Callithrix jacchus: one gene and its partners. The protein of the gene in region 1 purifies or fractionates together with the protein of each later gene. This does not show direct contact. Links are inferred from orthologs where the notes say so. Each region holds a gene or a part of one and is shown in the gene's direction. Other genes may lie near its edges.

The links.
Region 2: the proteins of BAG2 (region 1) and SGTA purify together in Homo sapiens (affinity purification with mass spectrometry; 3 studies listed by BioGRID and IntAct, with this or other methods). This does not show direct contact. The link is inferred for Callithrix jacchus from reciprocal best matches to the Homo sapiens genes BAG2 and SGTA.
Region 3: the proteins of BAG2 (region 1) and HSF2 purify together in Homo sapiens (affinity purification with mass spectrometry; 4 studies listed by BioGRID and IntAct, with this or other methods). This does not show direct contact. The link is inferred for Callithrix jacchus from reciprocal best matches to the Homo sapiens genes BAG2 and HSF2.
Region 4: the proteins of BAG2 (region 1) and DNAJB4 purify together in Homo sapiens (affinity purification with mass spectrometry; 4 studies listed by BioGRID and IntAct, with this or other methods). This does not show direct contact. The link is inferred for Callithrix jacchus from reciprocal best matches to the Homo sapiens genes BAG2 and DNAJB4.
Region 5: the proteins of BAG2 (region 1) and CEP170 purify together in Homo sapiens (affinity purification with mass spectrometry; 3 studies listed by BioGRID and IntAct, with this or other methods). This does not show direct contact. The link is inferred for Callithrix jacchus from reciprocal best matches to the Homo sapiens genes BAG2 and CEP170.
Region 6: the proteins of BAG2 (region 1) and SNW1 purify together in Homo sapiens (affinity purification with mass spectrometry; 3 studies listed by BioGRID and IntAct, with this or other methods). This does not show direct contact. The link is inferred for Callithrix jacchus from reciprocal best matches to the Homo sapiens genes BAG2 and SNW1.
Region 7: the proteins of BAG2 (region 1) and DNAJB1 purify together in Homo sapiens (affinity purification with mass spectrometry; 4 studies listed by BioGRID and IntAct, with this or other methods). This does not show direct contact. The link is inferred for Callithrix jacchus from reciprocal best matches to the Homo sapiens genes BAG2 and DNAJB1.

Annotation. Positions count from the first base shown.
Region 1 is NC_133505.1:65,540,836-65,544,867, forward strand, and holds the start of BAG2 (BAG family molecular chaperone regulator 2), read left to right. Parts: upstream 1-1,232; 5' UTR 1,233-1,604; coding exon 1,605-1,717; intron 1,718-4,032. UniProt on the Homo sapiens protein: Co-chaperone for HSP70 and HSC70 chaperone proteins. Acts as a nucleotide-exchange factor (NEF) promoting the release of ADP from the HSP70 and HSC70 proteins thereby triggering client/substrate protein release.
Region 2 is NC_133523.1:2,607,270-2,610,769, reverse strand, and holds part of SGTA (small glutamine-rich tetratricopeptide repeat-containing protein alpha), read left to right. Parts: intron 1-542; coding exon 543-642; intron 643-1,581; coding exon 1,582-1,686; intron 1,687-2,569; coding exon 2,570-2,708; intron 2,709-3,439; coding exon 3,440-3,500. UniProt on the Homo sapiens protein: Co-chaperone that binds misfolded and hydrophobic patches-containing client proteins in the cytosol. Mediates their targeting to the endoplasmic reticulum but also regulates their sorting to the proteasome when targeting fails.
Region 3 is NC_133505.1:128,928,445-128,932,494, forward strand, and holds the start of HSF2 (heat shock factor protein 2), read left to right. Parts: upstream 1-1,250; 5' UTR 1,251-1,329; coding exon 1,330-1,422; intron 1,423-1,692; exon of another isoform or gene 1,693-1,971; intron 1,972-4,050. UniProt on the Homo sapiens protein: DNA-binding protein that specifically binds heat shock promoter elements (HSE) and activates transcription. In higher eukaryotes, HSF is unable to bind to the HSE unless the cells are heat shocked.
Region 4 is NC_133508.1:115,232,952-115,236,451, forward strand, and holds part of DNAJB4 (dnaJ homolog subfamily B member 4), read left to right. Parts: intron 1-2,516; coding exon 2,517-3,085; intron 3,086-3,500. UniProt on the Homo sapiens protein: Probable chaperone. Stimulates ATP hydrolysis and the folding of unfolded proteins mediated by HSPA1A/B (in vitro).
Region 5 is NC_133520.1:42,978,452-42,981,951, forward strand, and holds part of CEP170 (centrosomal protein of 170 kDa), read left to right. Parts: coding exon 1-1,278; intron 1,279-2,027; exon of another isoform or gene 2,028-2,130; intron 2,131-3,500.
Region 6 is NC_133509.1:112,696,542-112,700,041, reverse strand, and holds part of SNW1 (SNW domain-containing protein 1), read left to right. Parts: intron 1-3,294; coding exon 3,295-3,390; intron 3,391-3,471; coding exon 3,472-3,500. UniProt on the Homo sapiens protein: Involved in pre-mRNA splicing as component of the spliceosome. As a component of the minor spliceosome, involved in the splicing of U12-type introns in pre-mRNAs.
Region 7 is NC_133523.1:13,295,148-13,299,223, reverse strand, and holds the start of DNAJB1 (dnaJ homolog subfamily B member 1), read left to right. Parts: upstream 1-1,276; 5' UTR 1,277-1,324; coding exon 1,325-1,535; intron 1,536-1,814; exon of another isoform or gene 1,815-2,124; intron 2,125-2,617; coding exon 2,618-3,198; intron 3,199-3,473; coding exon 3,474-3,704; 3' UTR 3,705-4,076. UniProt on the Homo sapiens protein: Interacts with HSP70 and can stimulate its ATPase activity. Stimulates the association between HSC70 and HIP. Negatively regulates heat shock-induced HSF1 transcriptional activity during the attenuation and recovery phase period of the heat shock response.

The DNA of each region.
Region 1 (4,032 bases):
CTGAAGGTAAAATTGATGGGATTTACTAATAGGCTGGATCTAGGTAGGCTATGAGAGAAAAAGAGTTCAGGATGATTCCAAAGTCACTTGATAGGCTTTCAGACCACTCACAAAATGTGTTTTGATTTCGTTTGTGTCATGACAGAGTATTTTTAATAAGGTCAAATAATCCCCTACCCCAATAGTTAATTAGGATTTAGAATGAGTTCAGAGGGAATTGGGATCCAGCCTTAAGGGCTTCAACTCTGTTCAAGTATTTAAACTGCTTTGATCTCTTTGATTAAAGGTGGTGGTTCAACTTTAAACTATTATTATCTATCATTTTCTGTGCCTTGTAGATTTTCATCCTTGCAATGAGAGGCATAGAGCTATCAGGAGAGGGACCAAAGCCTCACTTTTTAAGTAGTCCAGTCTTTATACTCTCAGCTCTACTCCATCTTTTGTCAACTACAGCTCATGCCTGACCTAGAGGCCTTCTGCATCTTTTTGTTAACAGAAGATTTTTAAAAGTTGAAGACTCCTTAATACCAATTATTTCACTCAGAAGTATTATCATTATTATTTTTTGAGACAAAGTCTCGCCCTGTCGCCCTGGCTGGTGTGAAGCAGTTGGCGAGATCTTGGTTCACTTAACAGGCATAATTTTAATAGCAAAAATTAAAAACCCCTTCATTAAGCCCAGCGTGTAATCCAGCACTTTGGGAGGCTGAGGTGGGTGGACCGATGGAACCCAGGAGGTCAGGGCTGCACTAAGTCGTGATCGTGCCACTGTACTCCAACCTGGGTGACAGACCCAGTCTCAAATTCAAAATAGAATGGTAAAAATGAAATATATTCACCTTGCTTCCCACATCTAGCTAGACAAGGAGAGATGGAATAGCTTTTTCTTTTTCAAAGCTTCAGTTGCTGTAGGTGCTTTCATTACTCATCTCAGGAAAGAGTGGTAATAGGAAGGTCAGGTGCGTGTAGTCTGCCTAGAAGCTGTACTGCCTTGTGTTTTACATAAGGCCGTTTTCTCCCCATATCACAGGACTCAAATGTCGTTGTTCTTGCTTTGAATTATGGGTGCTGGGAGAAACTAAACGAACCCATTACTGAGCAATACACCCACAGCCCATCGACCGATAGGAACCTTCGCGTGGGGGGAGTTGGTTACTTTTAGTCTGCACGGAGAGGCGGGGCCTCGCAGGGCGGAGCTGGGGGTGGTCTGTGGGTCCGCGCGCGCTTCGGGTAGTTCCTGGGTCTGAGGAGCTGACGAGACAAGCGGCAGACCCGGCAGACCACATTAAGCGCTACGTCTCTGCGTGCGCCCCTCCTGGCGCCTCAGAGCCTTGCGCTCGTGGTCCGCGCACCTCTTCCTCCGGCCGCGGCTGCTCCCTCGCTGGCCCGGCATCCCCGAGCCCCGCGGGCGCCGCGCCTGCCCTTGTTTGGCCACGCGGCAGCCGCGGTGTTAGCGGGTCCTCTAGGGTTGCTCCCGCGGGCGTCAGAGGCGGGGAGGGCGGGCTCCCGCGTAGTGACGGCAGCGCTTGCAGCCGCAGGAGCGCTCCATTCGCCGCCGCCGGAGGGGCCGGTGACCTCTCGGCTGCCCCACGTCAGAAGCTTAGATGGCTCAAGCGAAGATTAACGCTAAAGCCAACGAGGGGCGCTTCTGCCGCTCCTCCTCCATGGCCGACCGCTCCAGCCGCCTGTTGGAGAGCCTGGACCAGCTGGAGCTCAGGTGAGCGGCGGGCTGGCGGGCTAGCGGGCTGACGGGCGGGCGGTCTCGGGCGTCCTGCTAGCTGCGCCGCGGTTCGCGGACGGAGGCCGTGTGTGGCTGGCCGGGGTCTGGGGCACAGTGAGGCGGCGGCCGCAGAAGTTTCCTGTTGAGATTTGTGGTGGATGGACGTGGAGCAGTTTTGTTTCTCGGATTTTCTCCCCTAGTCCGACAGAGGACGCGTTCGATTTAAGCTAAACCTGTGAGGGCGTAATCAGTGGCCACACTCTGACTTACCTGGGTGTTGGAGAGTGGGAAAAAAAATCAGAGGATATAAAAGTCCCGGTGAGATTCCATGCGATTAAGGACTGTGGCAGCCGGGGTCTGCAGAACTTCTAGAACCTTCTGTGTGGCCCCAGATGTTTTTAACTTACTCTTTTCCCGTATGCGTTTTTAAAGGAGGCAGCAGTTTACAGTGGCCCTTCACGTGAAATTAAGTTTCCCTGCTTCAGAGCACTTCGGAGCAAAAATGGAAAAAAACAAAACCAACCCCGCGATCCATTGAGAGCAGATTAGAGAGGGGTGAGGGGTGGGTGGTAGGGTTACTGGGTGTTTAGTGCAGTGAAGACGTTGCTGCCTCCCCTGTCTCCCCTAACCTCGCTGGCGGTATTCAGCCGCTCCGTTAGTTTCTCCGTACTGGGCACCTCCCTGCATGGAAGACTAAGTGATAGTCTCTGGCCTGAAAGCATGAAAAGGTAGTTTTCTCCTTTTCTTGCTTAAGATTTTATTAGGTAATATAGAAGTAGACGTGCGTAGAATTTCGAAACAATTTAATGTTAATAGATTTATGGAAGGACTTTAACGGTGTATTGAAAAGTTTTATATACTTCCTGTTGAATGTTTGTTTCAAGTTCCTGTGAAATTTTTGTGAACAAGTGTAGTTAAAAGAAAATCGTGTTAGGCACCTGCAATCCCCTGAATCTGTACACAGGAGTTGGTTCCATCTTTTTCTCTAGGTTGTGCATGAGCAGAGGCATGTGAGCCAAAAAGTTGGGGAAACACTCTGTGTGTGTCTTTATCTCCCTCCATTAGTATACCCAAGCATGAAGTGTCCGTTTGCCGAGAAAATACTTCAATAACCACGGTATCTCTTAACTAGTGAGGCACTGTTACTGTTACTACTGGGAGAAAAGAGCCAGAGAGGGAGAGATTCTCCACTCACGATAATTTCATGGATGGCAGCAGAGAAACCTCAGCCCTACGCCGGGTTTTGGGGTTCCACTCAGAATTAGGCAAGTGGAAGAGAGAAGTAATGCTTCCTCATGGATTTTCTATGTACTAGCAAACCTGACCCATTCCACTCCCAGGAAAAGTAGAGCGAAAGCAGAAATTAGTGGCTTCAGTTACTTGAAGTCCCTCCAACTGATAATGTTTCTCCTTAGGGAGCCACGTAACAAGTAACCCACACTTCTCCATATCTTAAGAATGTTAAGGGCATGTTCTCAACCACTTCACTCTGGCTCTCCCTTAGAAAGAAAAGATTTTTTCCTAAAGGAATAGGGAGGATGCTACTCCACCCTGCCTTCCTTCAAGCGGAGTCATTGTCCTCCAACTTGAAATGCCTCACATGTGGTAGGTACAAAAGCACTCTGAAGTGCTCCTCTTTAAAATAAAGCCTCAGGTTTTGAAGATTATTATATTCTAATGTTTGATTAATGTAAAATGAATTCTGATTACTGCACATCACTGATTAAATTACAACTTGCTTAATATTTGAGTTGAGAAAAGTCTGATTAATATGTGGCTGTTTGTTTCAAGGCCTTTTTTTTTTAGTAGTTCTAGACTTTTGTAGGCTTTTTTTCTTCTTTTTAAAAAAGTAGTACTGGCTGAAAAGGATTTCTGAAGGTAAGCAAAAATAGAGAAAAAATGCTAATACTGATCCTATTAAAGTTTTTTTGAAACCACATGGGCAATGGCACAGAACACTACACTATTAAAACGAGAATCATGAGTACAACAAGGTTGATTTTTAAAAGAAACTAGGAAACTCTTATGTAATTTTGCTCTAGTAGTTTGATTGTATGTTGAGTAATAAAGTAGTGTAACTGGGTAGAATAAAACCTTACAGTTTGTACTTAGCTGTGTGCACTTAACGTTCCCTAACCACATTGGTCCTATCAATTGAGTAAGAAATTTCTTCCCTATGAAACTGAAAATAGGATTATGCCAAATGTTTTGTGACCTGGAGTATGAACTGACCTACATGATATTTAAAATGTTTGACAGCAGTTCTACTAACTGTTAAAGGTTTTTATTTATCTCTAATGGAATTTATCTAA
Region 2 (3,500 bases), on another chromosome or scaffold:
AATTTTTGTATTTTTCAGTAGAGACAGGGTTTCACCCTGTTGGCCAGGATGGTCTCACTCTCTTGACCTTGTGATTTGCCCACCTCGGCTTCCCAGAGTGCTGGGATTACAGGCGTGAGCCACCGTGCCCGGCCACAGCTGGGCTTTTTACCGCCCTGCCAGCTGCACCTTAGAGAGAAGCTGCATTGCCTGTGAAGTCAGAAGACATCACATGAGTATTCTAGAACGCAGGCCTCCACCTGGGCTCTTTCCAAAAATTATAGCAAAAGAGACAGTTCGCTCCCTGGGCCAGTGAGCCGCATTAACCCTTCCGTTCCCAGCCGTCGCCGTCCGGGCAGTGACAGCCACCATTGCCAGACACAGGCCAGGCCCTGCCGCCCCTGCCTCCATCTCCCTAAGTCCCTGCAACTAGAGAACCCCCCCATAGATGCAGGCGCCTCCCAAGCCCGCGTCCGTGTTGAATCCTAGGCGCCCAGAAGAGCCGCGTGTGGCGCCGAGGCCCCTCGGTCTTTGCGAACGCCCCAGGGTTTTTCTCTCTTTAGGAAATGAGCAGATGAAGGTGGAAAACTTTGAAGCGGCTGTGCATTTCTACGGAAAGGCCATCGAGCTCAACCCCGCCAACGCCGTCTATTTCTGCAACAGGTACCAGCTCAGGGCCTGCCCAGGGCAGGGGCGGTCTCCCGGGTGCTTAGCAAGGACCGGAGGTGGGAGAGGCCTCTGCACTGTAGATGGGGTTCACCAGGGGTCCCAGGCCAGGAACAAGCATCAGGTGGCCAGCAAGAGGGTCACGGAGAGTCGATGCTGACGTTAAAATCAGGCGGCATGCCCGGCGCTCTTGGAGTCCACGGTGGGAGGATGACTTGAGGCCAGGAGTTCAGGACCAGCCTGGGCAACATAGCAAGACCCCTCTCTCCACAGAAAATGTAAAAACAGTTAGTCCGGGGGCCAGGCGTGCTGGCTCACATCTGTAATCCCAGCACTTTGGGAGGCCAAGGCAGGCGGATCACCTGAGGTCAGGAGTTGAAGACCAGCCTGACCAACATGGCGAAACCCTGTCTCTACTAAAAATACAAATATTAGCCTAGTGTAGTGGCAGGTGCCTGTAGTCCCAGCTACTCAGGAGGCTGAGGCAAGAGAATTGCCTGAACCCAGGAGGCAAAGGTTGCAGTGAGCCAAGATCGCACCACTGCACTCTACCCTGAGTGACAGAGGGATTACAGGCGTGAGCCACTGCGCCCTGACCTGGTCTGAGTTCTTTTTTTATTGATACGTCAGTAAATTTGGTGATAAAACTTGGGTGTGCGTTTCCTGCACTCTTTGCTGTGGGTCGGAACATTTTTTGTAAATAAAGTCCAGAGTTGCAGTCCCGAGCGGCCGTTGGTGCTCTGAGCCCACATCTTTGTAAGAGCATCTCGGCAGCCACACCTCTCAGCTCTCCCCACCAGCCCCATTTTACAGACCGGGAAACTGAGGCTGCGCCTCCAGGAAGCGGGAGAGGAACGCAGCACTGAGGCTTCCCTCCAGGGCTGCCCACAGCTCAGAGCTGCTGGTGAGGTACCTGCCCTGCCTTTACTTCCCCAGAGCCGCGGCCTACAGCAAACTCGGTAACTACGCGGGTGCCGTGCAGGACTGCGAGCGGGCCATCTGCATAGACCCGGCCTACAGCAAGGCCTACGGCAGGATGGGGTGAGGGCCGTGAGTGCCGTCCGGGGCCCCTTTTCTCCTGCGTGCTCCTGCTTCCTCCCGTGTGGCCTTTTCCACACCCGCACCGATTCTCCCACCCCGGTCGGTTCAGCCTTGACACTAGCCGTGGGCCCTACAGGCCACGGGCTCAGTCCCACAGACCGCCCCGCGTCAGCTGCCAGCCGGAGATCCCGGGACCCTTGCTTCTCCCCGACCGGCTGCGCGCTGGGGTTCCCACAGGCCCCGCTCAGGCGCCGTAGCTTGCACAGGCAGCTCCAAGAGCTCAGGGGAGCACCTGGTTTATGATGAAGGACACAGGAGGGGTCCGAGGGCGAGGCAGGAGGTCCCCAGGGCAGGAGCCTGTGCCCCGTGGGGCCGGCGCTGCCCCCCCAGCACGAGGGTGCCTCTGCCTGCTGCTTCCAATGCTCAAAGTCTGTGTGATTCGGTCTCCCCAGGACCCGCCCTGGGCTCTCTAGGGGCCCCCGAGTCACCTCAGTAGTGAAGACTCAGGTGGGGGTCGAGGTGCTTGTGGATGGTGGGAGACATGTCTGTCCCTCAGAGGTTCCAAGGGTCCTCGGTGCCCTGTGCCAGGAAGCACGGCACAGACCACATCCACGCTTTTCCTGTGACCCCATGCCTGCCCGCTCCCTCCTCAGCCCCCTCAGGCCTTGAAGTCCTGCGTGGCCCCGTGGGGACACCAGTTCTTGTGCCTCGGGTCTTCTCATGTCTGTCTCCCTCAGTCCCACTCTGGACCCCTCGAAAGCCAGGTTTGCCTCCACCGAGTTGACAGTGCACAGGGGCTGCCGGGCCGCTGGGGAGGGGGGACTGGGTGGGGCCTCCCAGAGCAGGGCAGATGGGACCAGGCTGTCCCCGGCACTCTCCCCAGCCTGGCGCTTTCCAGCCTGAACAAGCACGTGGAGGCCGTGGCCTACTACAAGAAGGCCCTAGAGCTGGACCCCGACAACGAGACGTACAAGTCCAATCTCAAGATCGCAGAGCTGAAGCTGCGGGAGGCCCCCAGCCCTGTGAGTGCAGCGGGGGCGAGTGGCCCCAGAATGCAGGGTTGACTGGCGGGTGGGGACAGGTCCTTGGGCGCACCACCAGCTCTCGGCTTAACCTGCCTGTCGTGAGGGTCCGGGGTCTCAGTCAGTGGTGAGACGCGCCCGTGGAAGTGACTGTTGTGAGGAGTGGGTTCCTGCTCCCAGACCCCTGGAGGCAGGAGGCTGGCTGCAGGGCTAGGCGGGAGGTGGGGAGAGGCCACATACAGACCCTCACTGTGGGTCGTGTGGCGAGGCTTAGGGTTGGCCAGTTTGAGCTGTTTCACTGGACCTAGGCCTGGGGGCTGCCCTGGTCGCCTGGTCCCTGGCTGGGGGTGGCTGGGGCAGGTGGATTGTGGCTCTGAGGTGATCAGGGAGGTGCTAGGGGTGTGGGTTCTAGGTCGGTGGGTGTGTATTTCTAAGGGGCGTTCCTGGGGGAGTCGTCTGCTCTCTCTGGGAAGTGGCCACTCCAGGAGGGGCCAGCTCTGCCACGCCAGCGAGGCCCCAAGGTGTCAGAGCGGCGGAATGCAGGAAGTAGAGGCGTGGACGGTAGACGGGGCTGGCCCCCAGCCGGCCTGCGCTGTGTGCCGCCTGCCTCAGCAGCCTCTGGCCGCAGGGTTGGTAGAATGTCTGAGCCCCGAGGGGCCGCTGTCTTGAGGGGGCTTACTCATCGTGGCCCCTGATCCAGGCCCCACTCACCAGGCTGTTCTCACCCCCAGACGGGAGGCGCGGGCAGCATCGACATCGCCGGCCTGCTGAACAACCCCGGCTTCATGACCA
Region 3 (4,050 bases), about 63 Mb from region 1:
CTTCAGCCAATATCCCAGTGCTGAGCACAAAGGCAGTATTCAATAAATATTTGCTCTTTGGAAGATATATATATTTAATGTACTATTTTATATTTACCCAAGAACTAAACCCATTCTATGCTGAATTTTTGTATAATGTGTTATCTCTTACTTGTTTGTAAGTTTTTGTCTTCACATGCCAGCTTTTGTAAAAATAAATAAATGTTTAATTTTGTAGACTTCATATTTTCAAAGCATATTCACAACCATATTATTAAAGACACTCTTAATGGGTAAAAAGATAGATCTTACTCCCAATCAAGAAATGGGAAAAACTGGCACTGGTAGCTAAGGAATTGCTCTAAATGACAGTACAGGCTTATTTTAATACACAGTAAAATGTCCAAGAGGCTTTGTTTCATTATTTTTTCCCACTATACCAATCTCTCAGGTCAAAAAAAAAAATAGATCTGTAAAGTATATACAGGAACAACTATTTTAATTAAAATAATATAAACAAGCCTGTTTCTTTTTATTCTGGTACAGAGTAGGCACTTGATGACTGGATTAAAAACAGCACATGATGTACTATCAATTGCAGTTCCTGGTTTACAGCTCTAAGCAGTAGAGAGTGAGTTTTTTAAACTGCTCTTTTTGATAAATGCATTTTAAAGAGGGCTTTTTCTTCCAATGAAAACTTAAGAACAAGGTTCATTATTTTTAAGATAGTTTCAATTTGAGGCCTAGCACATCATGCTTAAGAGCTGGCTTTTTCCTTACGCGAATGATCCTTTCTCTAAACTGGTGGAAACCACACTTTGGCTGCCAAACTTATGACTCAAAGGCCCTAGAGGGCTTTTTGTAGCTTCCCAGCCACAGTCCAGAAACCATAAGCTATTCCACGTGAAACAACCAAACACGGTCGCCCAAGCCAAAGGCCGGCTACCCTCAAGCCTTCTGTATAAAAGGCAAATGAGAAGGCAGCACCCCTTTCTGCTACCACCCCCTTCTGCTCCCACCCCCTTCTGCTCCCACCCCTTTCTGCTCCCGCCCCCTTCATGTCTGTAGTAGCCAATCACTTTTCTCTGTCGTGCGGTCGGCCTCTGGGATTGGCCAGGGACTGGAACGGCGCGGAACCACTGCGCGAACAGGCGGAGCGAGGAGACTTGTCCGTCACGTGCGGCAGCCCTGCCTCTCGGCCTCACCGCGCGCCTGGCGGGGTTGGGGGGCGGGGACCGAGATCTGCTGCGCCTGCGTTGTGGGCGTTCTCCGGGAGCTGCTGCCTTCACCGCCGTCGCCACTACCACAGTGTTCGGGTGTAGAATTTGGAATCCCTGCGCCGCGTTAACAATGAAGCAGAGTTCGAACGTGCCGGCTTTCCTCAGCAAGCTGTGGACGCTTGTGGAGGAAACCCACACTAACGAGTTCATCACCTGGAGTCAGGTACGGTCAGGCCACGGCGGCCTCTGAACCCCCTAAATAACCGCCTCCTCACTCGCTCTCCTGCGGGGTGGTCTCTCGCGGCCTTGCGGCTCGCCGCTGTCTGCGAGGCCCGCGGTGCGAGCCTTGGTGTACGGTCTCTCGGGGGACCCCCTGTATTGTTCTCTCGGGGAGCCGTGGGGGCCCGGCCGGCAGCGCCTCTCGCCTCAGGCCGCGGTGGGGGAGGGGCGGCCCGCGCGGGGCGTAGCGGCCCAGGCAGCCCCTTAACGGTCCAGTCCGCGTTCGGAACCGGCCCGGCGTCGCGAGGGTAATCGGCGAGCCGAGGGCGCGGGAGCCACGTTACTGCACACTCATCCTCCGTCCTCCAGCCCGGCTCAGGGGTTACAAATCGCGGAGGGGACAGGGAGCCTAGGGCCAGGATCATCGACGTGGGGCTTTATAGGAGGCGATCCTTACCTCAGCGACCGATCACCTCTCGTTCCTCCAACACCGCTCTGCATCTGGGATCTTAATGAGGAGAGCAGTCAGGGAAATAGACAGATTCAAACACAGGTTACTGGTTATCAGTTGGTTTAAAACATATATAGAAATTGACAAATTCTTTGGAGATTCTGTGCTGTTTGTATAATCGGATAATTAGGATTGTTTTAATAAAGTACTAATAGGTGGTCAGTAACTTAGTAATGACTCAATTTCACTGAACAGTTACCAGCAGAGGGGCATACCCATGTATTGATGATTGGTTTGATCCCAACTCTGCTTCTAAACAAGGATGACCTTAGTCCAGCCCCTTAACTTGTCTGGTCTAGGTTAATCGTTTATAAGATGGATGGGTTGCCTAGGTGATCCAAGACCTCTTCCAGTTCCAAATACAAGATTCTAGGCAGAATGATTGTTTACGTCCACAGTGCCAGTGCGTTAGAATACACCCTTAGGCTGTTGGAATCTTTTTATGAAGGGCAATGGTTAACTCTTACTGCAGATGGTCACCTGTTGAGGCATATTTTCATGTGTGAGTTCCTGAGAAGAATAAGCGAAAACTACCTGCATAGTGCCTGGCACCTGTAACGTGCTGAGTAAATGTTATCTCCCCTCCTCCTCCTGCCTTTCTTTCCTGTTCTCTTCCTATTACAGGAACCCTCAGTTTTATTTATTTTTGTCTTAACAGGGAGTTAACACATTATTAAGACCCTGAAGTTTTAACTATTTAATACCATAGTTTGCCTTGTGTTATTATTTGTTCTTTTTTCCATCTTTCTTCTAGGATTTAATTTTTGCGTGTTCCTTATCTGAGTTATCCTTTTACCCCCATTCCCTGCTAGGAGTTGAGTGGGAGGCATTGTGTGTGTTTGTATTAAGCATTTAATGCATTCTGTACAATTGTACAAAGCTAAGTGAAGATGAAAAAGCCAGCCACTAGCATGTACTTAAAATAAACAGATGTCTCATGTTTTTCATCAGTTGGAAGGATTAAAAGTTGACAAGAAGGATCAGCACAGACTGTTATTCAGAAATGTATTCGTGTTAGAGATTGGACTGAGATTCTGTCCCCATGAAAGCTGACTTTATCATACCTTTTTGTCTTTTATGGGCCAGAAATAGAGTTTATACATATTGGCAGTTGGTTTTATCGTGTCAGTGGTAGACCTGTTATATTTTGATTAGTCACAGTATTTTAATAACATTCTTATTTTCTGAGCAGTGTCAAATGTGGAGAGTTTTGTACTGATCCATAAATCCATCATTCTGTGAGTTCTAAACCAAATAAACCACTTAACTATTTTTTCTTAATCCCATTATTAACTTTAAGCTTATGTGTTAACTAATTTTCTAATATGCCAGTGGTATGATCAAAATGTACACTCAGTAACTGTTTGTGCTAGAGACACAGTAGGTGTTTAATAATTGTTTGATGAATAAATGAAATACCTTGAAATGTAATGGGAGTGGTAGGAATGATGAAGATAAAATTATGTTTGAAATGAATCTTAGAGATCATCTTAGGTTAGCCTCAGCATTGTATAGATGAGGATTTGAGGCTTGGACTGGTGGGATTCTTTATCCATAATTATATAGCTAGCCAAGATTGGAGATGAGACCCTAACACAAGCTTGTCCAACCTGAGGCCCAGATTCCACCCAGGATAGCTTTGTATGTGACCCAATACAAATGAATAAACTTTCTTAAAGAAACATGAGATATTTTTGCTATTTTGTTTTTAAGTTCATCAGCTATCATTAGTGTTAGTGTATTTTATTTGTGGCCCAAGACAATACTTCTTCCAATGTGACCCAGGAAAACCAAAAGATTGGACACCCCTAACCCTAATAGATTTCTGAGCCCCCAGATCAGTCTTCCTCTGATAGGACTAGACATAATACAAGTTGACATCATATTTAGTTTTATACCAAAAATGTTGGTTGCCATAAGTCTGTGAACAATTCTGAATAAATGTTGTCTAGGGCTAAGCCTCATAGCTTAGGCAGCTGTCTCACTCATACTTTGCATAGATTTTTCTAAAAGCAGTGCTAACCTGAAAAGTAAAACTTTAACAATAATGTTAGGTGGAAAAAACAAAATAAGTTACTTTCATCTTTTTTTTTTTAATGAATAAATGAAATTCCTAGAAAA
Region 4 (3,500 bases), on another chromosome or scaffold:
AAGTCTATGAGATGAAGGATAAAATGATTTGAATAATTTAAGCATTGGTTGAGTCACCTGGGTCATGACCTTGAGCTACATATTATTCTGTCCTTTAAAAAAATCTGCCATTGGCTTTTTAACATTTGGAGTTATAATTATACTACTAAAATTTACAAAAGGGAAATTTGGGTGAGCTGCATATGAAAAGTTCTTGTCCTGCTTATATTTGTCATTCAGTTTCTACAAGGAATTTCCCTAACTGCTATTTGGATATATTGTTCAATACATATTTTGACAATTTTCAGATTATTAGGTCTCTCTTGGTTGCTCCAGATTTCTATTCATGGGTGAAGATAAAAATTTAGATATGACTTGAGACTCTGTTAGATGAAATAGAGTACATATATAACTTTTAATGGAAGAAGCCAAATGTAGAATAAGACGTAAGCAAAACTAAGTTTCTTTAAAGTATGCTGTGTGTTAATGGCATTTTAAAGTGTTAAATATCTCTTATATGTATATACATGATTATATTTTACGTTGTTTTTGCTTCTGCCTTTTTCTCTGTACTGATACTCAAGACAAATCAAACTTTTTAAGTTTTGATTAAGAAGGACTTTAGGAATTAGTTCATTCCCTTCATTCACTAAGCATGAATGCCTACAATTTTCAGCCCTGTATGCATGAGCAATACAAAATGAATAGATTTCCTGCCTTCAGATCACTCTCTGTTAGGAAACATTAGCTTAATCTGTTGAATTTTTCGTAATTTTATGATGTTTAGATTCTTTTCTGCTTGTTTCCTGGTTAGGAATTCGCTTAATGCTCACTCAGAAACTGCTGATATTGTAATGATAGAAATCCTTATTAGTATTGACCCCTTAAAAGATCACTATACTGTTGTTTTATGGGTTTTAGTAGAACATTTCTTTTTATACATAGTGGAAAATGTTGTGTGAAAGAAAAGGGTCAAAACATCACTATATTGTTGCCTGAGGTGGGTTGTTCACAAGAGACAGAAGTAACCCATACAAAGACCTTACATGTCAAGGTTTACAGCTGTTGATTTCAGTCTTCTTAAAAGCATTGAAATTAATGCTAAGATGTGATATGCCTAGATAAATAATTTTTGTATTGAGGGTAGGAATAATAATTTCAGTGTCTAAGAGTACAGTTTCATAGAGTGCCCTCGTTATTAGAATTTTTTCACTTTCTACCACAGAGTTATATTTAATTTAATTTTATTTATTTATTTATTTATTCATTCATTCATTCATTCTGAGACAGAGTTTTGCTCCTGCTGCCCAGGCTGGAGTGCAGCGGTGCAATCTTGGCTCACTGCAGCCTTCACCTCCCAGGTTCAAGTGATTCTCCTGCCCCAGCTTCCCAGGTAGCTGGGATTACAGGCATGTGCCACCATGCCTGGCTAATTTTGTATTTTTAGTAGAGACGGGGTTTCACCATGTTGGTCAGGCTGGTCTCAAACTCCTGACTTCAAGTAATCTGCCCACCTTGGCCTCCCAAAATGCTGGGATTACAGGCGTGAGCCACTGCATCTGGCCCTATTTTGATTCTCATACAGTAAAAAATGATCTGAAATAAAACTAGTTAGTATGAATATGATTTTTATTACATTATATTTTTATATATTTCCATATAAAATATATAAAAACAGCATGAATATGGTATTTTTGTTTATATGTATAAACAGTATGAATATGGTATTTTATATTGCTATATATTTTATTAATATATTTATGTATTTTCTATTTTATATATTGTTCAATTGTAATACAAATTAAAGATTTAGGTTCTGTACTTTGTATTGATTATTGAAGACCTTTCAACTGACATCTTTTAAAAACTTATTATTTATAAGTAGATACTTACATAATTTATATACTTCAACATTCCAGATCAGTAGTTTATAAGATAAGCAGTTCCCAGTTTTCTTTTCTTTTTCTTTTTTTTCTTGAGACAGAGTCTTGCACTGTTGACTGGGCTGGTGTGCAGTGGCACGATCTTGGCTCACTGTAACCTTCGCTTCCTGGGTTGAAGCGATTCTCCTGCTTCAGCCCCCTGAGTAGCTAGGATTATAGGTGCCTGCCACCATGCCCAGCTAATTTTTTGTATATTTAGTAGAGACAAGGTTTCATCATGTAGACCAGGCTGGTCTTGAACTTCTGACTTCAGGTGATCCGCCTGCCTCAGCCTCCCAAAGTGCTGGGATTACAGGCGTGACTCACTGTACCTGGCCTTATTTTATTTTCCTTACTTACCTGAGGAACAAAGATTCAGGAATAAATTATTAAAGATGCTGATTTGGAGGAAGAATTTTAAAACTAACAATTTAACTTAGGATATAATCATCAAGAGTTTTATAGCTGTTCTATATTTAGTTAAAATGGCATTTCTGACCAATATTAATAAATTTTAATGTAAGTTAGCCGAAGTTTATTAGCAATACAATTTTTGAAAGTTTGACTTTCAAGAGTTGCAAGCTTTTTTCTAATCATGCTTATCTCTTCAATTAGGGTTGAAAGGAGGAGCTGGAGGTACTGATGGACAAGGAGGTACTTTCCGGTACACCTTTCATGGCGATCCTCATGCTACATTTGCTGCATTTTTTGGAGGGTCCAACCCCTTTGAAATTTTCTTTGGAAGACGAATGGGTGGTGGTAGAGATTCTGAAGAAATGGAAATAGATGGTGATCCTTTTAGTGCCTTTGGTTTCAGCATGAATGGATATCCAAGAGACAGGAATTCTGTGGGGCCATCCCGCCTCAAACAAGATCCTCCAGTTATTCATGAACTTAGAGTATCACTTGAAGAGATATATAATGGTTGTACCAAACGGATGAAGATTTCTCGAAAAAGGCTAAATGCTGATGGAAGGAGTTACAGATCTGAGGACAAAATTCTTACCATTGAGATTAAAAAAGGGTGGAAAGAAGGCACCAAAATTACTTTTCCAAGAGAAGGAGATGAAACACCAAACAGTATTCCAGCAGACATTGTTTTTATCATTAAAGACAAAGATCATCCAAAATTTAAAAGAGATGGATCAAATATAATTTATACTGCTAAAATTAGTTTACGAGAGGTAAGTTGGTAGGACCTAAAATTCTGAGACCAAATATTTATGTAATTGATCATAGGGAGTGTATCTAGATAATAGCTAATTTATTTAATGCCTATTACACATTAAAAATATTATTATAACAATCCTCTAAGATAGTACTGCTATTATGCCTCGTTTTTGGATGTGATTATATTTTCTAACTTTAATTACTTATAATTAAAGTGTTAATTTGAAGTGCTAACTGAATTATGTACTATATGACCCTGCTTTTACAAATGCAGCTTATGAGCCGGGTGTGGTGGCTCATGCCTGTAATCCCAGCACTTTGGGAGGCTTAGGCGGCGGGATCATGAGGTCAGGGCTTCAAGACCAGCCTGACCAACATGGTGAAACCCCGTCTCTACTTAAAAATACAAAAATTAGCTGGGCAGGGTGG
Region 5 (3,500 bases), on another chromosome or scaffold:
AAAGAATGGCACAAAGTGAGAGCAAGAGAAGAAAAGCCGAGGAAATTCTGAAAACTCAGACTCCAAAGGGAGGCGACAAGAAGGAATCCTCCAAGTCATTAGTGCGACAAGGGAGCTTCACTATAGAAAAGCCCAGCTCAAACATACCCATAGAACTTATTCCCCATATAAATAAACAGAATACTTCTACTCCTTCTTCTTTAGCGTTAACATCTGCAAGTAGGATACGGGAAAGAAGTGAGTGTTTGGATCCTGATTCTAGTATGGACACAACCCTTATTCTAAAAGACACAGAAGCGGTAATGGCTTTTCTAGAAGCTAAACTACGTGAAGATAATAAAACTGATGAAGGACCAGATACTCCTAGTTATAATAGAGACAATTCTATTTCACCAGAATCTGATGTAGATACAGCTAGTACAATCAGTCTGGTTACTGGAGAAACTGAGAGAAAGTCTACCCAAAAGCGAAAGAGTTTTACCAGCCTCTATAAAGATAGGTGTTCCACAGGTTCTCCTTCCAAAGATGTTACAAAAGCATCATCTTCAGGTGCTAGGGAAAAAATTGAAAAGAAAACAAAAAGTCGTTCCACAGATGTGGGTTCAAGAGCAGATGGTCGTAAATTTGTTCAATCTAGTGGGAGAATAAGACAGCCTTCAGTGGACCTAACAGATGATGACCAAACCTCCAGTGTACCTCATTCTGCTATCTCTGATATTATGTCATCTGATCAAGAAACTTATTCTTGTAAACCTCATGCTCGGACTCCCCTTACCTCAGCTGATGAGCATGTACATTCCAAACTGGAAGGAAGTAAAGTAGTGAAATCTAAGACTTCTCCTGTAGTACCTGGTTCATCCAGTAAATCCACCACTCTTCCAAGGCCACGACCTACCAGGACTTCCCTCTTGCGCAGAGCACGACTTGGTGAAGCTTCAGACAGTGAACTTGCCGATGCTGACAAAGCATCTGTTGCTTCTGAAGTATCCACAACAAGTTCTACATCAAAACCTCCCACAGGAAGGCGCAACATCTCTCGGATTGATTTATTGGCTCAGCCTCGTAGAACACGACTTGGCTCACTGTCAGCTCGTAGTGACTCTGAAGCAACAATTTCTAGAAGTAGTGCCTCTTCGAGGACCGCAGAAGCCATCATTAGAAGTGGAGCCAGATTAGTACCATCAGATAAATTTTCTCCTAGAATTAGAGCTAACAGTATTTCTCGACTCTCAGACTCCAAGGTCAAAAGTATGACCTCAACTCATGGCTCTGCATCAGGTAAATTGGATCCAGATTTTGAATAGCATTAGCATGTTGTATATTTTGGGGTACCTTTTTTAAAAAAAATTAAGTCTCTAGTTGTCTTCCCAAGATACTCATTCAAAAGAAAAACGTTATGATATACAGGGTTTTTTTTTCCTATGAAATAACTTTATTTAGCCTAGTAAATGGAAAAGTCAGAAGTTATATATACTTCCAATTAAAGTCCTGGGGCAAAATAGTGATTTCAAAAATTAGGAATTCATTGAGCAGATTTAGCAGTTTTAATTTTCCAGTTGGTGAAATATTTGGATTTGTGTGTCAAAATTAGATTATCTGGAATTATCTGGTTTAAATAATAGGAATTAACATTGTGCTTCTAAAAGCATGTATTTAACCTTTAAATATCCTCACATAATTCAAAGCGGTGAAGAACTTGAAAAAAAGCAGTATATGCTTTATTATTCCTTTCAGAGTTAAGTGAAATAATATTTTGTTCTTTTTTTTCTTACCTATTTTGAATGTCTTTCGTTCTTTATCTATACTTTTTAAAGTTAAATTTGTTTACAGTTGGAGCAGGTGAAAACTAATCCTTAATTTATTTCAGTGGAAGAAGATGAATTCATGGGGAATCACTCAGCATATACTGGTCAAACCGAGCTGTAGAAATTTTACTGGTTATGAACATTATCTCACAAAGTGCTGTTATATCATTTAACCCTAGTAATTAGGTGTAATTGAATATAATAACTACAAAAAGTACTTACTCTCCACCAGAATTTAACTGCTATTATTATATTTGTTTGCTTATGTACTTCATAGTCAGAGCTGAAGCCATTGAGATACATGTGTGACCAAAGAGTGATGAGGTGGATATTTGTTTGTATCCTGTAAGCATGCTCTCATTACTTCATAATGAGCTTATATGAGGGCGTGGCTGAAAAGGCCAATGTGGGAGAGCATCTGTTATAACAGACATGAAGATGGCTGATTATTTTCGGTCAGCAGACATCTAAGTGAGCCCTAAGTCTTGAGTTAAGTAAGAGTGGAGGGGAAGTTGATGTGAAATCTCATCTTTTTATTTTTGATTGGTTCACATCTACCACACTGTGTCCTACAAGACCCAGAAGGAACGGTACTTTGCATACGATACTTTTTTACCTTTCTTCCTCTTTTTACTGCTGCTCTCCTCCACTCCATTCACCTGTCTCTCTTTGCTGGTCAGTGAGTTTGGTAATGATGGTCACTGTCTCTAGTAGGAATGGATGTAGGCTGAAGCCAGATAACATATAATCATGATTCTAATAAAACATAGACATCATTTTCCTTATTACCCCAGTCTTCATTTCCATACTTGAAGCTTTGGCTGGCAGTTCACAAATTTATTGCCAAATATTTTAAAACTAACTACTGTATTTTGGTTGATTTTTGTTCTGTTGTTGCTTATAGCTCTAACTCTTCAATTCACATTTCATCTATACTGCATTTCCTGATGAAATTCTTCTGCTATCCTCCGTGTTTTATCACCTCATCCCCATTTAAGTACATTAAGATATGTATATATTCTCCTGTCTTAATGTAATTGGTATGTTACCAAGTAGCTTGGAGTACCTCTTAACACATGATGTGGCCTTATTCCTCGATATTTAGGATAAGGCTTGAGATGCAGGCTAAATATGATTACATCAGCAAGTCTAAGAAACAACTGCAAGTTGCTATTATAAAGATAAATTTCATTTCTGCTGCCTTGAATACAGAACTTGATAAATGTTCAGTTAGTTGTCTGTGTCCAAAAAGAACCTTGAATTGTGTATGAAATTTCCTAGGACAAATTGAGGTATATGATTTTGGTCTTTTCATACTTAATAGCAGTAAATTAAATAATTAGACTCATGGAATATTAGAGTTAGGAGGGTTATTCCCTTGAGAGAACTGAGGCCAAGAGAAGAAATAACCTGCCTTATCCACATGGCTGTAGCAGGTATGAGAATTTTGTCATGCCCAGCCTGTTGTTTTTCGACCATATTTATTCTAGCTCTAAGAAATAGTTTAGTGTTTACTTGTGAGCAAGCTTCGAGAAGACAGAATCTACTGGATTATTATCAGGAGCATATGCAAGGTCAATATACAATATAAAGGTTTTGGTATCGTTTACTAAAATCTTTGCTGCTCTGATGTTTTACCCAGTGTATATTCTTTATTCCACCTTATGAGCTTAAAGCCACATTGTAATCTAGGGT
Region 6 (3,500 bases), on another chromosome or scaffold:
CAGCAAATGACTCTTGTATGCTAAATTACTATTGACAGTTTATGTTGAACATGTATGACTACCAGGGAACTGTTTACTTAGAATCATTTCCTATAATGATTGCTATGGAGAAGTGATAAACTCTTCATGATTAACTCTTCATAGACTTGGTATATTTTTCTAGTGTTGTTATATAATTTTCAGCTTATGGTTGTATAAGTTTTTCCATCATGGGAGGAAATAAGACTTTTGAGGTCAGTTAGTAGCTATGTGATCTTAATGTACTGAGCCTCACTCTTTTCAATAGAGTAAGTTTTATGATCCCTTTCAAAATGAACACTCTTAGAGTATGATGACACTAATAGCTCACATATCAGTAGTATGTGTTTTGTGCTAAAACATCTTATGCTGTCCTACCTGATCCCTCTTCTCATTCCGGAGAAAAACAAGCTGGAGATTTCAGCGAATAGCCATGAGATAGTTTTTTTCTGAGCAATCAATAGCTTATAGAAAGTTCTGTAGGACCTAAAATATAAACTTATTTGTTTATTCACTCATTCATTCATTTATTCTTTAAAATAGAGATGCAGTCTTCCCATGTTTCTCAGGCTGGTCTTGAATTCCTGGGCTCAAGTTATACTCCAACCTTGGCCTTCCAAAGTGCTGGGATTACAGGCATGAATCATATAAACACCTTTAGCATGTAACAGAGCATCTCTAAAATTCATTTATATATTTGTTTGTACAAAAAAATTGATCGAATATCTCCTTCGGACTAGTCATTATTATAAGCACAGGAGATACTTTGTTTTTTTTTTTTTGAGACAATCTCCCTCTGTTCCTCAGGCTGAAGGCAGTGGCACGATCTCTGTTCACTGCCACCTCTGCGTCCTGGATTCAAATGATTCTCCTGCCTCAACCTCCCAAGTAGCTGGGATTACAGGCACCAACCACCACACCCAGCTAATTTTTTATTTTTTTAGTAGAGACGGGGTTTCACCATGTTAGCCAGGCTGGTCTCCAACTCCTGACCTCCGGTGATCCGCCTGCCTTGGCCTCCCAAAGTGTTGTGATTACAGGCATGAGCCACCACACCTGGCCAGTAGATACTTTAATAATAAGATTGCCCAAGGCTGGGCGCAGTGGCTCACTCCTCTAACCTCAGCACTTTGGGAGGCTAAGGCAGGCAAATTATGAGGTCAGGAGTTGGAGACCATCCTGGCCAATCGGGTGAAACCCTGTCTGTACTGAAAAAAAAAAAAAAAAAAAATTACCCAGGCCTGGTGGCACGTGCCTGTAGTCCCAGCTACTCAGGAGGCTGAGGCAGGAGAATCTCTTGAACCCGGGAGGCGGAAATTTTAGTGAGCCGAGATTTCGCCACTGACTCTAGCCTGGGTGACAGAGCAAGTCTCTGTCTCAAAAAAAAAAGAAAGAAAAAAATATATATATGTATTTTGCTGACAAGTAATATGGGTATTATCATTGTGCATACCTCCTAGGGTTGATAAAAAGCTTATTTAGTTAATAAACTCTAAAAAACAGGCATATAAAGTGCTTACTAAATAGTAGCTATTATTATTTTGATTTTTTTTTTTTTTTTTTTTTTGAGACAGTTTTGTTCTTGTTCAGGCTGGAGTGCAATGGTGCAATCTTGGCTCACAGCAACCTCTGCCTCCTGGGTGCAAATGATTCTCCTGCCTCGGCTCTCATGTTCCTGGCATTACAGGCACCCATTAGCATGCCAGGCTTATTTTTCTATTTTTAGTAGAGATGGGGTTCTCCATGTTGGTCAGACTGGTCTTGAACTCCTGACCTCAGGTGATCTGCAGCCTCAGCCTCCCACAGTGCTGGGATTACAGGTGTGAGCCACTATGCCCAGCCCTATTTTAATTGCTTTAATAGGGGAGACATAATAAACAAGTAAAGTAGATAAATAATTTCATGCTGTGAACAGTCTTGATCACAGTAAACAGTGTTATGGAGCAAATGATTGGGTGGGGAGGGGTTGCCACTTTAGCAAGGGCAGTCAGAAGAAGCCTCACTAAAGCAGGACCTTTGATCTGAAATACACAGATTGGGAGCTTACTTGAAGAACAATGAACAGCACTCTGTAAAGGCCTAGAATTGGGGAAAAGCATGTTATGTTCAAGAAACAGATGATAAGCTAGTGTGACTGAAGCATAATGAGTGAGAGAGTAAGAGTTATAAGGGGAGATTGAAGGCATAGGCAAAGTCAGGTCAAGTTGTGTAAGCCATGAAGTGGCTCACACTTTTTTGCTCTGTTGTTTGGAGTATAAAATTAGAAATAGCATCCATTTCCTTTAAACTGTTTTAAAGAATGAAGTATGATAGACTTTATTAATATAAGACTGCTTGTAGCACTAAACATTTCTACAAAAAAATTCTGAAGATCTCGAGTGCCTAGGAATTTTATTTTCTTTGATAGTTATAAGTTGTCCTTTTAATGTACATCAAAGAATTTCTGACCAAAGCATTAAAGTGTAGAATGCCTATTTATTGAATTTTCTGTATTTCTTTTTTACTTTAATATATGCCATGAAACTTTTTATGAAAATATTTAAGAAGCATAGATGGACCTGAAAGCAACCAATATTCTATTTGTTAAGGGCCTGCCACATCAGCATCACCCTAACAGAAGCCATGTTGGGCCTACTAGAAGTCATATAACAGGCCTCAATTTGGATAATGGATATAAAATAAGTTGTATATATAGAGTATATATATTTTTCTTTTTTTTCCTTTTGTCTTTTCACGGAAGAAAGTGTTCTGGGTTTTTTAACTGTGGCACATGTTTATTTTCTTAGTCTGTGAATAGAGTTGACAGCAGAAAAGAGAAGCGTTATAAGTAGGATGAGGTCAATAAAATTTTCCAGGCCCAGTGACTTTGGAAATAATACTTGGTAACCTGAATTAAATTCTGATGAGTTTGTAATCCAAGATAATGGTCCTATAGGCAATTTCTATTATCATTAATTTCAAGACCTAGTGAGCCTCAAAAATAGAGATCATTGATGCATGATTTTGTTGGCATAGTTTATTTGGACACTGACTTGATTAGAAGATCTCAAATAATTTAAATGCATGAGGTCAAGGGAAAATTATCAACTTATAGCCAGGATAGCAATTTGTGTATATTTATTTTAATCATCCTTGGTTTTAAAATCTAAAAGACAAAATCTGAGTGTCCCAAATTTTTAAGTCTATTGAGAGGACGTGTTGACATCTGAAGTGGCTTAATGAGGTTTCTTTTCATTGTTTGCTTTTCTTAAGCCTACTTGTGTCTGAACATTTTAGGTCATTTACAGCAAATACACTGACCTGGTTCCAAAGGAGGTTATGAATGCAGATGACCCAGACCTGCAAAGGCCCGATGAAGAAGCTATTAAAGAGGTAACAGGGAATTGATATATTTGATGACTATTTACATCCTGATTAACTTCCAAACTCTCAATGTGATGTTTCCTATTTCAGATAACAGAAAAGACAAGAGTAGCCTTAGA
Region 7 (4,076 bases), on another chromosome or scaffold:
TGCTGGTGGGTTCTTTGTTCATTTTATTTTCTCATTATGTTGGTTTTTTGTTTTGAGAGGGAGTCTTGCTCTGTCACCAGGCTGGAGTGCAGTGGCCCGATCTTGGCTCACTGCAACCTTAGCCGCCCCGGTTCAAGCAATTCTCCTGCCTCACCCTCCCAAGTAGCTGAGACGACAGGTGCATGCCACCAGGCCTGGCTAATTTTTTTGTGTTTTTAGTAGAGACGGGGTTTCACCATTTGGCCAGGATGGTCTCAATCTCTTGACCTTGTGATCTGCCTGCCTCAACTTCCCAAAGTGCTGGGATTACAGAAAGTGCCGGCCTTTTTTTTTTTTTGAGATGGAGTTTTGCTCTGTTGCCCAGGCTAGAGTGCAATGGCTGATCTCAGCTCACTGCAACCTCTGCCTCCCGTGTTTAAACTATTCTCAGGCCTCAGCCTCCCAAGTACCTGGGATTACAGGTGTGTACCACCGCACCTGACAAATTTGTTATTTTTAGGAGAGACAGGGTATCACCATGTTGGCCAGGCTGGTTTCGAACTCCTAACCTCAGGCGATCCACCCAAAGTGCTGGGATTCCAGGCGTGAGCCACAGCGCGCTGCCTTTTGGTCATTTTAAACAGCTTCCTTATGTTGCCTAGGCTGGTCTCCAACTCCTAGCCTCAAGCGATCCTCCCGTCTTGGCCTCAGAAAGTGATGGGACTACAGACGTGAGGCCCGGCGCCCAGCCTGGTGCGTTCTTTTATTTCCATATTACAAATAAAACGGGGCTCCTGGGTTAGGCAGACACAGGCAGTTCGTGCAGCGTCACCCGGAGGGAGCCCACAGCGGGCCCAACGAGACAAGTGTGGGCAAGTTCATCATCTCCTGGGGAAAGGTCGGGGTAGCCCCAGGCCCCACCCCTTCCCTAAACGGCACCTTCGTCGTGCCTCCCGACCCACTGACTCAGGCGGAGGGCGGGGCGCAGAGTCGCTGGGGCCGCGTAGAGAGTGAAAGAAGGCCACCACTGGCTCGTCCCGGAAGTTGGGCGGGGCCTCCTCCGACCTGGGTGCGCGCCGCGGGGAGGCGTTGCCGACGGCGGAGCAGGAGGGGGTGTGGCTCCGCGCGGGCGGCCGTTGACGCCGAGGCCCCGCTCCGGATGTCGCGCGTCGCGGACTGGGCGGCGGCGATTGGCCGGCCCGGCTGGGGGGGGCGGGGCGGAAGGTTCTGGAGGGGGCTGGCGGGCTCTGGAAGCTTCCGCCGGACGGGTATATAGAGTCCGGGACCGGGCGGCGGTGGAGCCGGGGTACGGCGGTTGTGGGGCGGCGGGCCGCAGGCGGGGGCCATGGGCAAAGACTACTACCAGACGCTGGGCCTGTCCCGCGGCGCGTCGGACGAGGAGATCAAGCGGGCCTACCGTCGCCAGGCGCTGCGCTACCACCCGGACAAGAACAAGGAGCCCGGCGCCGAGGAGAAGTTCAAGGAGATCGCCGAGGCCTACGACGTGCTAAGCGACCCGCGCAAGCGCGAGATCTTTGACCGCTACGGGGAGGAAGGTGCGTGGGCGCGGCCCCGCCGTTTGACAGGCGGGGAAACCGAGGCACGCCGGCCGCTCTGGGTGCCTCCCCCCTCCGGGGAGGACGCCCCGGGCCCGGGGGCTAAGCTGCTCCGCCCTCGGGCCAAGCGGGCCTCCGCCCTCGGATTGGTGGCCGCGGGGTGGGAGGAGGAGCCTTGGCCCAGCCGCTCGCCCAGAATCTTCTAGCAAGTCTGGGGCTGCCCCTCCCTGGGCGCGTCCTCCCGAGGCCCGGAGCAGCCCCGGGGTGCGGTGCAGGGGCAGTGGGGCCGTGTGGGAGCCGGAGGGCGGACGACGGGGACGGCGCGGCGGAGCGCACTGCGGGCCGGGGCTTACCTAGGTTCGGCCGCCGGGGTCTGCAGGGCGGCGTCTCAGGTTCAGCTGCGGGCGCCGGGCTGCGAATGCGGGCGCCGACCCTCGCGGGCTTGCGGGCGGGGATGGGATAATACCTGGAAAGCGATGACCTGGCCCCGGCCGGGCACGCAGGAGGCAGCGGCGCCCACTGCGGCCGCCCAGGTGCAGAGAGCGGGGCTTTTTGTCCATGTGCTGGTTGATGACTCAGGCTGGATTCTGGGCTTAATTGGAGGAATGAACTGACTTTCTATGCAAGCATGGTGGCAGTGAATGCTAGTGTGTGAGGGTTCAAAAACTCCCCATCTATTTTTTTTCCTTATTTTTACTCTTCTCATCAGTGGTCCTAAAATGTTGAGAGTAAACACTTACCGAAAGCCCACCCTGGACCGTGTCTTAAGCCATCCTTGGTGACATAGCCAGGGGGATGAGTCAGTCCAGGGATGGTAGGGCATGGGTGGCACCTGGAGGTGGATACCTAACTGCATGAGTCCTTTGCCACTGTCACACTACACGGAAGTACTGGGGTGGGGGGCGTCTCTGCTGCTGCAGTGAGAGGTAGAAACCTGGGGTTCTTCCTCGCTCTCCCCTGACAGGCTAAAAAAAGTTCCTCCCCCATGGCTTCCAAGCTTCCTCCCCCCAGCCCCCAAAAGGGAAGCTCCTTGAGAGAGGCTGCTGTTCAGCCATCTGACTGCTTCCAATTCTGCTTTTTAGGGCTAAAGGGCAGCGGCCCCAGTGGCGGTAGCGGTGGTGGTGCCAATGGTACCTCTTTCAGCTACACATTCCATGGAGATCCTCATGCCATGTTTGCTGAATTCTTCGGTGGCAGAAATCCCTTTGACACCTTTTTTGGGCAGCGGAACGGGGAGGAAGGCATGGACATTGACGACCCATTCTCTGGCTTCCATATGGGCATGGGTGGCTTCACCAACATGAACTTTGGCCGCTCCCGCCCTGCCCAAGAGCCCGCCCGAAAGAAGCAAGATCCTCCAGTCACCCACGACCTTCGGGTCTCCCTTGAAGAGATCTACAGCGGCTGCACCAAGAAGATGAAAATCTCCCACAAGCGGCTAAACCCCGATGGAAAGAGCATTCGAAATGAAGACAAAATCTTGACCATCGAAGTGAAGAAGGGGTGGAAAGAAGGGACCAAAATCACATTCCCCAAGGAAGGAGACCAGACCTCCAACAACATTCCAGCTGATATTGTCTTTGTTTTAAAGGACAAGCCACACAATATCTTTAAGAGAGATGGCTCTGATGTCATTTATCCTGCCAGGATCAGCCTCCGGGAGGTAAGGTGCCAGGTGGGGCAGTGGCTGTAGATGGCTGCTCTTTGAAGCAGATAACTATTTGCTGAGCAAATGTGTTGGGGCATGTGGTACATGCCAGGTTAGGGGCACAAAGTGAACAGGACTGCTGGAGCTTTCATGGTGGTGACGTGTAGATCTGGGAACCAGGTCTTGGCTGCACAGGCCTGATGGGTCTTACTCTTTGCCAGATGGCCTCTGGGCAAGAGCTGAGCCTCTTGAGCCAGCTTCCATCTAATGCTGTCCCTTTGCTTTCCAAGGCTTTGTGTGGCTGCACAGTGAACGTCCCTACTCTGGACGGCAGGACCATACCCGTGGTGTTCAAAGATGTCATCAGGCCTGGCATGCGTCGAAAAGTTCCTGGAGAAGGCCTCCCCCTCCCCAAAACGCCCGAGAAACGTGGGGACCTCATTATTGAGTTTGAAGTGATCTTCCCCGAAAGGATTCCCCAGACATCAAGATCTGCACTTGAGAAGGTTCTTCCGATATAGCTACCTGAGCTCTCCAGACTGACTAGGGACCTTTCCAGAGCTCAAGGATTTCTGGACCTTTCTACCTATTGTGGACCATGAGAGGGCGGAGGGCCCAGGGAGGGTTTTCATACTGCTGAATGTTTTCCAGAGCATATATTACAATCTTTCAGAGTCATACACTAGACTTAAGTGGTTTTTTGAGCAATAGGACATCAGGTGGTGGGAACAGCAGGAAAAGGCATTCCAGTCTGCCCCACTGGGTCCGGCAGCCCTCCCAGGAGGGGCCCACATCCTCCTCCTCCAGTCCCTGTCCAGGGGTGAGAGGCAGACAGACCAGCAGCTGGACTTGATGCTTGTGTCCCTTTGCTTCTGGCTGGTAGATGGTGTCAA